Linked DNA regions of Rattus norvegicus. The protein of the gene in region 1 interacts with the protein of each later gene in a biochemical or structural test. Links are inferred from orthologs where the notes say so. Each region holds a gene or a part of one and is shown on either strand. Other genes may lie near its edges.

Region 1 (4,242 bases):
AATCTAGAAGTCTGTAGTAGCAAAATTAGTATTCGCGGTTGCTGGGGGTAGGAAGCTAGTGAGAAACTGCTTGGTAGGTAATTTTATTTCAGAGTAATGGAAATGTTTTGGAACTAAAGCTGTGGTTACACAACACTGTAAATGTACTAAATGTCAAGAGATGTTTACTTATAAATGGTTACTTAAAAAACTTGTATGTGTATTTGTAAATGCGGTTTGCAGGTTGAGCACGTAGCACTGGGTTCGAATCAAGGTCAGAGGATGACTTTCAGGAGTCTGTTCTCTCTTCCATCATGGCACCACCAGGTTTTACTCTGCAAACTTTTTACTGAGTCACCTTGCAGATACCAAATGGCTACTTTGAAAATACACAGAGGTAGAATGGGAGTCTGAGGTCAACCTCCAATTAAGAGGGAATCTGGCACATATCTTTAATTCCAGCACTCAGGAGGCAGAAACAGACCAATCTCTTTGGGTTCGAGGTCAGCCTGGTTTACAAAGTGAGTTCCAGGACAGACAGGGCTGTTAAACAAAGAAACCCTGTCTCGAAAAACCACAAATAAACAAAGAGATAAAAAAAATTGAGAACCTATTTCAAAGAGGGATTAAAAAAAAAAAAAGCACGTTGACAATGTCACATTGTCCTTTAGGTGTCTATTCCACTGGGGTTGTACGAAGGCTCACAACAGGCTTCAGTTTTCCGTGGGCCATATTGGCGCATCAATTTTATTTTTTTCTCCATCTTTATTAAATTGGGTATTACAGGGTCTCATGCAGCTCAGCATGGCTGTGAACTCCTGATCCTCTTGCCTTTACTTTCCAAGCGCTGGGATTACAGGTGTGCAACACCATACTTTTAGTTTTTGGTCAATCTGGTGTACTACAGTGAACCCTCGATCTGCAATACAAATGTGGAACCTGAGGTTTAATATAGTATGAGAGCTTTCCCGCAAAACCCGTAAGCCGCCATTCTCCATGGATGTCAACTTCGGAAGGAAGCACCAAAGCTGGGCCCTGGGCTGTGTGTCATCTGGCGCGTCTGGTCCTCGGAGGGCCTCGCGGGTGGCCGGACCGAGGCTGCAGCCCACTGCCGCTGGCCTCCGACCAGAAGCAGTCACTGTACCTCCACAGGTTGAGCCCCGAAATGGCGGCCACAGTACCGCGAGGGCCACGCCTCCAGAGGCGGGGCCAGATTCCAGGCCCGAGCGATAGATCCCCGAGCCAAGTTTTAAGCGGACAGCCGAGCTCAGGAGCTCGCGCAGAGGCAGTGAGTCCGCGGCGCCGCAGGTCGCCAAGACGAGTGTCGAGCGCAGGGCTAGCTCGCCGCCGCAGCCTGAGAGCGTCTTCATCGCGGGTGCTTGTTCCGCCATCTTAGATGGCGGGAGTTAGAACGGAGCGAGCTTGAAGCAGGAAGGCTTCTCTGCCGTTCTCCGCAGGCCCTCAGACGGGCCAGCTGGCCGAGCTTTGGGGCGCGTGCCCTGAGGCGCGGGGCGCTAGTGCAGCGATGCGGGGCCTTCCTGGGGCCCCGTCCCCCGGGCTGGGGACACGCCGAATGTAACCGCAACCCGTTCTCTCAACCACCGCTGTCGCTGCACTACGGGACCCGGTGCTGCCCGGCTCCCTCAGGTAGGCCGCAGGGCTGACGGTGCGGCCGCGGGGCGCAGGGTCCGCCAGGCCGCTGTCATCCTGGTGGCGGGTCGGGCGAGGGCTGGGTGTCATGGCCGGCGAGCCAGTTTCCACACCCCTGCTCAGATTTCCCAGTGTTTCTCGGAAATGTGCCAGCGCCACTCCGGTGCCCAGCGAGCATTCCTCATATTTTGGCAATGGGGAAAAAAAATCCTCCTAGAGCTGCCCAGTGTCTGGGTTGTCACTGGGATGGGCTCATTCTTTTTCTCTCGGGCCGCAGAAGTGGGGGGAGCCCGGCCTTGCACCTCCTCTCGGGCTGCTTCGCTTAAGTGACACCCTTTTAGGGAAGACGAGAAGAATCAGGGACGGCAGCGAGAAACGGGTCAGTGCCCCGTCACAAAGACGTGGGACCTCGCCCGGAGCTTCCAAATGGGAGGCCGGGGATGCTCGAGATTGGGAGCTGGACTGCCTTTTGTGTGAAGCGACAGCCTCCTAGGCTCTGCAGAGCCAGTGAAGGATGCAGAGTTGGGACACCACGGGAGGCGAGGTGGCCGTGTTCATTCATTGTTCTCTCTTTAGGGCCCAGGGTGTGCCTCTGGTTTTCATTCTTTGTTTGGAGGGACAGTCGGATCTCTTCTTTCCGGGTTGAGACGTGACCGGGTCTTGGGGAATGGGGCAGGTCTGTGTATAGAAGTGGGGAATGAATTCAGGGCACGTATGGATGCCTGCATTGCGTCCTGTGGGGTCTGTGGAGACTTAGCTCCCGGGGCGTGAAAACAATGCGCGGTGATAAGGCTTGTTTTCCCAAGTGTTCTTGGGATTTAGAACAGTTAGGTGCAGAATAGAGAAACCCAGAGGTTCCTTGCTTGCTTCTGCGCGGAGTTTGGAAGGACTGTTCGCTAGGTGAGGTAGCGGGGAGGACATTGTCAGCGGGGGAACAAACAGCTGGCACCAAGGCACAGGGGCGTAGCCTGCGGGAGTTAGGATGATTTTGGGGAGCAGTTAGTAAATATGGGGTGCAGGTAGGCGGACGGCAGGGTCTAAGAGGAAAATTGATAGTTGCGAAGGGTCTGTGTGATGGATAGTGAACTAGTTCGTTTGTTAATTAACTTCATGTTGTGAATTTTTAGTTCTTGCGGGTTGCTGCTTTGCTCCCCTCCCGCTATGGTAGTGAACAAGATTTACCTTGTTAAGTCTAGCTAACCAGTTTTGGTAATTGATAGGAAATGTTTAGTGCTTTTTCACTGGTTCCTCTTCAGAGATACTCTTGCAGCTTTTTCTAAGGTTATACCTGCCTTCAAAAATACTGAGGTCATAAACATATTCTTTACTAACTCCTGAGTTTTAAATCGCTGCTGACCACGTAAAAACACGTTCCCCAAACGTATAGAATTCGGCAGATTATAGAAAACACCTGGAAAAGTGTAGCATGAAAGTATTTTTTAATGAATCCTATTTATGTAGTAGACTTTTCTTTAGACTGAGTTCCCAGGTTGCAGCTTTGTTAAGTCTCCAGCCCCATGAACATTTTATTTTGTTATTCTAATAAAATAGCTAATTTGATTAAGGCTTATGCTGAAGTGGCTATTTAGAAGTGAAGAGACATCAGGGGCAGTTTCCAAATCTTTGGTATTGTGAACCACTGAAAAACACTGAGGTTCTTTTGATTTGTTTTTACTCTTATCACTTCAAGGGCTAAGTAAGCTGTTTAAAATCCAGCAGCAACATTTGACCTAGCTGAGACTGGATACTTGGAAAAATAAACCTGCTGATGTTTCTGTTCGAAGGCTTATCTTCAGGTCTGCAAGGCTGGGATTGTGCCCTGAAGTGGGATCAGGCAGCTTTGTTAAGGTCTTGTCAGTAGTTGAAAGGATCTTGTATGCCTGTGAAGTAGAGGCTTGACTGAAAGGCTTTTGAATGCATTTTAAGGGATTTGGCCCAGTAGTAAAAAGACTGAGAACCTTTCACTTATGACAAAAAGTATCCAAAAATTAAGAATGACACTGCATTACAGCTGCTCTGAACCCACTTGGTTTTGGCTTCAAGTCAATTTTCTCTGATGATTAAACTACTTGACAGTTTTAGGAAGTTAATTTGATATTTGCAGAAGCACTAAGTATTTTTAATGGAAATACAATGACTAACTTCAAATTGCTCTTTTAGAAAGTCTATTAGTGAATGTTTGATTATTTAATATTAAAATTCAGACAAAACTTCTTTACCTACCTGCTACCTAAAACCATGAGAGAATGCTTTGGCTTGCCCGTTAGCAACATGCCCCAATGTTGACTTGCAGATCAGAATTTAAATATTGTCTCTGAAAGACAGTGAACAAATATAACAGTGAGAGGGTTTATGAAACCATACAAATCAGGCTTCAACTTAAAATGTTGTTTTATTTTTCTAAAGTTGAAACTAGACCATAAAAAATCAGGGTCTCCCACTCTTGAAAAATCAGAAATGTTGGGTTCTGTTTTTCTTTCTTTCTTTTCTTTCTTTTTTTCTTCTGTTGGCTGGATCTCCCTGTTTAGTCCTTGGATGACCTGGAATTCACTACGTGGACCAGGTTAGCTTTGAACTCACAGAGATTCCCCCTGCCTCTGCCTCCCAACTGTT
Region 2 (3,645 bases), on another chromosome or scaffold:
ATAAGGCACTATTGCAAGTGTTTGGGACTCCTGGGAAACCATGCCAATAGACAGGTGAAGCAACCAGAGTTCACCTCCGACCTAAGAAGCCAGGCTGAATCTCAGACCTTCTTCCCTTGGGAAAACTAGAAATGCTAGCCTTGGCCAGTCTAAGAATCCTACCGGGGTGCAAACTGCTCTTTTTCATGCAGTCCACTGGGGCTCTGAATGCCTCCTGAGGAACTACGGTGCAGCCTTCAACATGAGTGCATACATGCACATACGGAGCAGACATTAAGAGAATAGACTGGAATGCTGGGCATGGGGCATCGAAGGTTGGCACGAGGTGTCTGTCAAACACTGTGTGGTGGTTTGAATAAAAATGACCCCCATATATTTGGATGCTCAGACATTAGGCTTAGTCATTAGTGCTACTTGACAAGAATCAGGAGGTGTAGCCTTGTGGGAGGGAGTGTGTCACTGGTGGTTGCCTTTGTGGTTTCAAAAGCTCAAGCCAGGCCCAGTCTCTCTCTCTAACTGCTGCCCGTGGATTGAAATGTAGAGCTCTCAGCTACCTCTCCAGCAACACGTCTGCTTGCATGACACCATGCCTCCTGACATGATGACAACAGACGAGACCTCTGCACTGTAAGCCAGCCCCAGTCAAATGCTTTCTTCTTTTAAGAGTTGCTGTGGCCGTGGTGTCTCTTTACAGCAATAGGACACTGACTAAGACTCTGTCTAATTTTTGTTGAGACAGAATCTTTTACTGAATCTGGAACTTGCCCAATTTGGCTAGACTGCTTGGGCAGTGAGTGGCAGGGATCCAATCCTCCGGTCTTTGCCTCCCAGCACTGGGATTATACAGTGTGCCATCAGTCCAATTTCTACATTCTACATGATGCTGGGACTCTGAACATACCCCCAGCTTTGGCTTAAGAGCTTAAGCGAGTTACTTAATCTTGTCATGTCTCACTGTTCTCGGAGATGAGGGAGCACAGGTAGACAGATAACAGAGAATGACACTGTTGTTTTAGCTTTGCTTTGAGACAGGATCTCATGTAGTATAAGCCAGTCTCCAACTCACCGCATTGTCAATGCTGCCCTTGAACTCCTGATCCCCATCTCTCCATCTGAGGAGAGCTGGGATACAGGTGTGCAAAACCACACCTGGTTCAAGCAGCACTTATTGTCATTACCCGTCCTCTGTTCATTCGCATCTCTTTGCCTAATGCTCTGTTAGCTGGCAGCAGAGTAGAAAGGCAGGAATTTCTGAAGATGGCTATCGAACCGGAGTGACAAATGCATATTTGACAACACACAGCAAGAAGTTCAAACATTACTCAGAAATCCAAACTCAATTCTATCCAAAACAATCACAACTACTCAAAAAACACTTGTGTCCAAGGGCACGCAAAGCAGCAGCACATGTAAGGGAAAAAATTAGGTAAAACAGAGAACAGAGACTAGGTTAAGTAAATCATGATGTATTCACATGCAGTAAAATATGGCTATTTTCAACGACAGAGGAAAATGTTAATTTTTCATCAGTAAAAGAATAATTTACCAACTGTACAACATATTAAATAGGATGAGAAATACTTTTCAGAGTAATGGCATCTCTGGGTGACACGTTCATACCTGCACACAAGAAGCACAGTGAGAGCACAGTTTAGGGGTGAAAGGCCTCGGTTTGAATCTATCTATATACACATTTAAAACGTTTGCGCAAGCCTCCCACATTAACTTCAGAATTTAAACCCCAAACTGGTCTGGAGAGACAGTTCGGTGATTAGGAATGTGAGCTGCTCTACCTGCTTACCTGAGTTCTGATCGCAGCATCCACACAGAGGCTCACAACCTCAGATAACTCCGGCTCTGGGGGAATCTGAGATCTCTGGTGGCCCTGGCCATCAGCGACACATGCACATACTCCCACACAGACTCAGACGCAGACACACACATAATACATAATAAAAATGAAGTAAGCTGGTTTTTAAAAAGCCAGCCAGGCAACAATACCATAGCGCTCTATCCCTAGACTAGGGAAGTCACCTGCTGGATGTCAGAAAGCTCTTTATTCAACTCTTCCAGGTGGTTAGCTGTCTTCTCCACAGATACCTCCAAGTCCTTCAGCTTTTTCAACTCAGCCTCTTCTTCTGGATTGCTCTAACACAAAGGATAAAATTCGGTCGGTAATTGCTCACCTAAAAAGACTGAGTCAACCTCTCGTGCTTCTTGCTTGGAAAGCATGTCAAAGGGTTAGACACCACGATTCCTATCTGTAAAGCCGAGCGTCAAGAAGGAAGGCGGGGCTGGGGATTTAGCTCAGTGGTAGAGCGCTTGCCTAGGAAGCGCAAGGCCCTGGGTTCGGTCCCCAGCTCCAGAAAAAAAAGAACCAAAAAAAAAAAAAAAAAGAAGGAAGGAAGGTGTCAAGCGAACATCGTAGTGAGAATCCTGAGGACGTATGCTCAGAGAATGGAGCCAATCCAAGTGTCAGGTTCAGCCTCAGCCCTGTGCTGACCCCAACCCCAACAGCTAGGTCAGAATGTAAGCACGGACTACAGAGAACTCACTGCTCTTCCAGAGGATCTGGGTCCAGTTTTTGGCACCCACACAGAGGCTTACAATCTTTTGTAACTTCAGTTCAAGCATATCCTACCCTTCTTATGGCCACCACGGGCATCAATCAGGCAAGCCCATAGTGCAGTCACACAGATGCAGGCAAAATACTAGAATACACGAAATAGGATAAATACATCTTTAACACAGTAGAGTGTAAGTAAGTTCAAGAGAATACCGCTAAGGTGTCCAGAATGGGAAGACAGAATTCAACTCGTCCTTTGTTTTGTCTTGAGACAAGATCCCACTACCTAGTCTCATTCTTCCTACCTCAGCTTCCTAAATGTTGAGATTACAGTGTGCTTCCATGCCCAGCAGTATGACATTTTTTTTTCCCAAACAGTGCAGGGTGGCCTCAAGAATACTGTGTAATGGGAGGACGACCTTGAATTCCTGACCCAACTGCCTCTACCTTCCCTATGGTAGAGCTACAGCCAGGTGCCACCAGGTTTGGCTCACGACTATCTTCTTTTAAATGTAAATGTCACCCTTCAGTTGGATTCTCCTATTTAACACGATAGTAACAGTGACAACATTTTTCCTGAATGCTCTTGGTATGCCAGGTACTGTGCTTAAAATGTTACCTCTGCTACTTGGTTTTTAAGCTTTACCATAACCCTAAGAGGCAGGAACTGTTTCATAGATGACACTGGGCCTTAATGTAGTAAAGTGACCTAAGGTCCCAATGCCCAATCAGGGGAATGGACTAGAACTCAGCTGTGGACTCCCTGACCCTAACCAGTTCCAACAGAAACTACCACAGCACACCAAACCGAGACCATGGGTACTGCCTTCTGCCCGTATTGTTTGCCTGACCCTTCAGCAAACATTTACAACATTATTCTTTCTCTCGCCGGCAGCTAGGGCCAGCAGCTTCCTGCTTTGTTATGCTCCCCGAAACTCTCCATTCTTGTTTGTGGCCTAATCCCAAGCCCAGCCTCCGGGAGGCTCCAAGATGAGACACTCATTGCTTCCAGTTAGCTCATTCTCACCTTCAATCTACTCAGCCGCCTCACCTCACGATGTAAGAGACCTCCTCAAGTT

Evidence for each region. The genes of interacting proteins can lie anywhere in the genome.
Region 2: the proteins of Raf1 (region 1) and Bag1 form a complex in vitro, tested with the Homo sapiens proteins (2 studies listed by BioGRID). The link is inferred for Rattus norvegicus from reciprocal best matches to the Homo sapiens genes RAF1 and BAG1.

The regions. Positions count from the first base shown.
Region 1 is NC_086022.1:150,409,928-150,414,169, reverse strand, and holds the start of Raf1 (RAF proto-oncogene serine/threonine-protein kinase), read left to right. Parts: upstream 1-1,356; 5' UTR 1,357-1,626; intron 1,627-1,870; exon of another isoform or gene 1,871-2,173; intron 2,174-4,242. UniProt on the Homo sapiens protein: Serine/threonine-protein kinase that acts as a regulatory link between the membrane-associated Ras GTPases and the MAPK/ERK cascade, and this critical regulatory link functions as a switch determining cell fate decisions including proliferation, differentiation, apoptosis, survival and oncogenic transformation.
Region 2 is NC_086023.1:60,867,053-60,870,697, forward strand, and holds part of Bag1 (BAG family molecular chaperone regulator 1), read right to left. Parts: intron 2,149-3,645; coding exon 2,035-2,148; intron 1-2,034. UniProt on the Homo sapiens protein: Co-chaperone for HSP70 and HSC70 chaperone proteins. Acts as a nucleotide-exchange factor (NEF) promoting the release of ADP from the HSP70 and HSC70 proteins thereby triggering client/substrate protein release.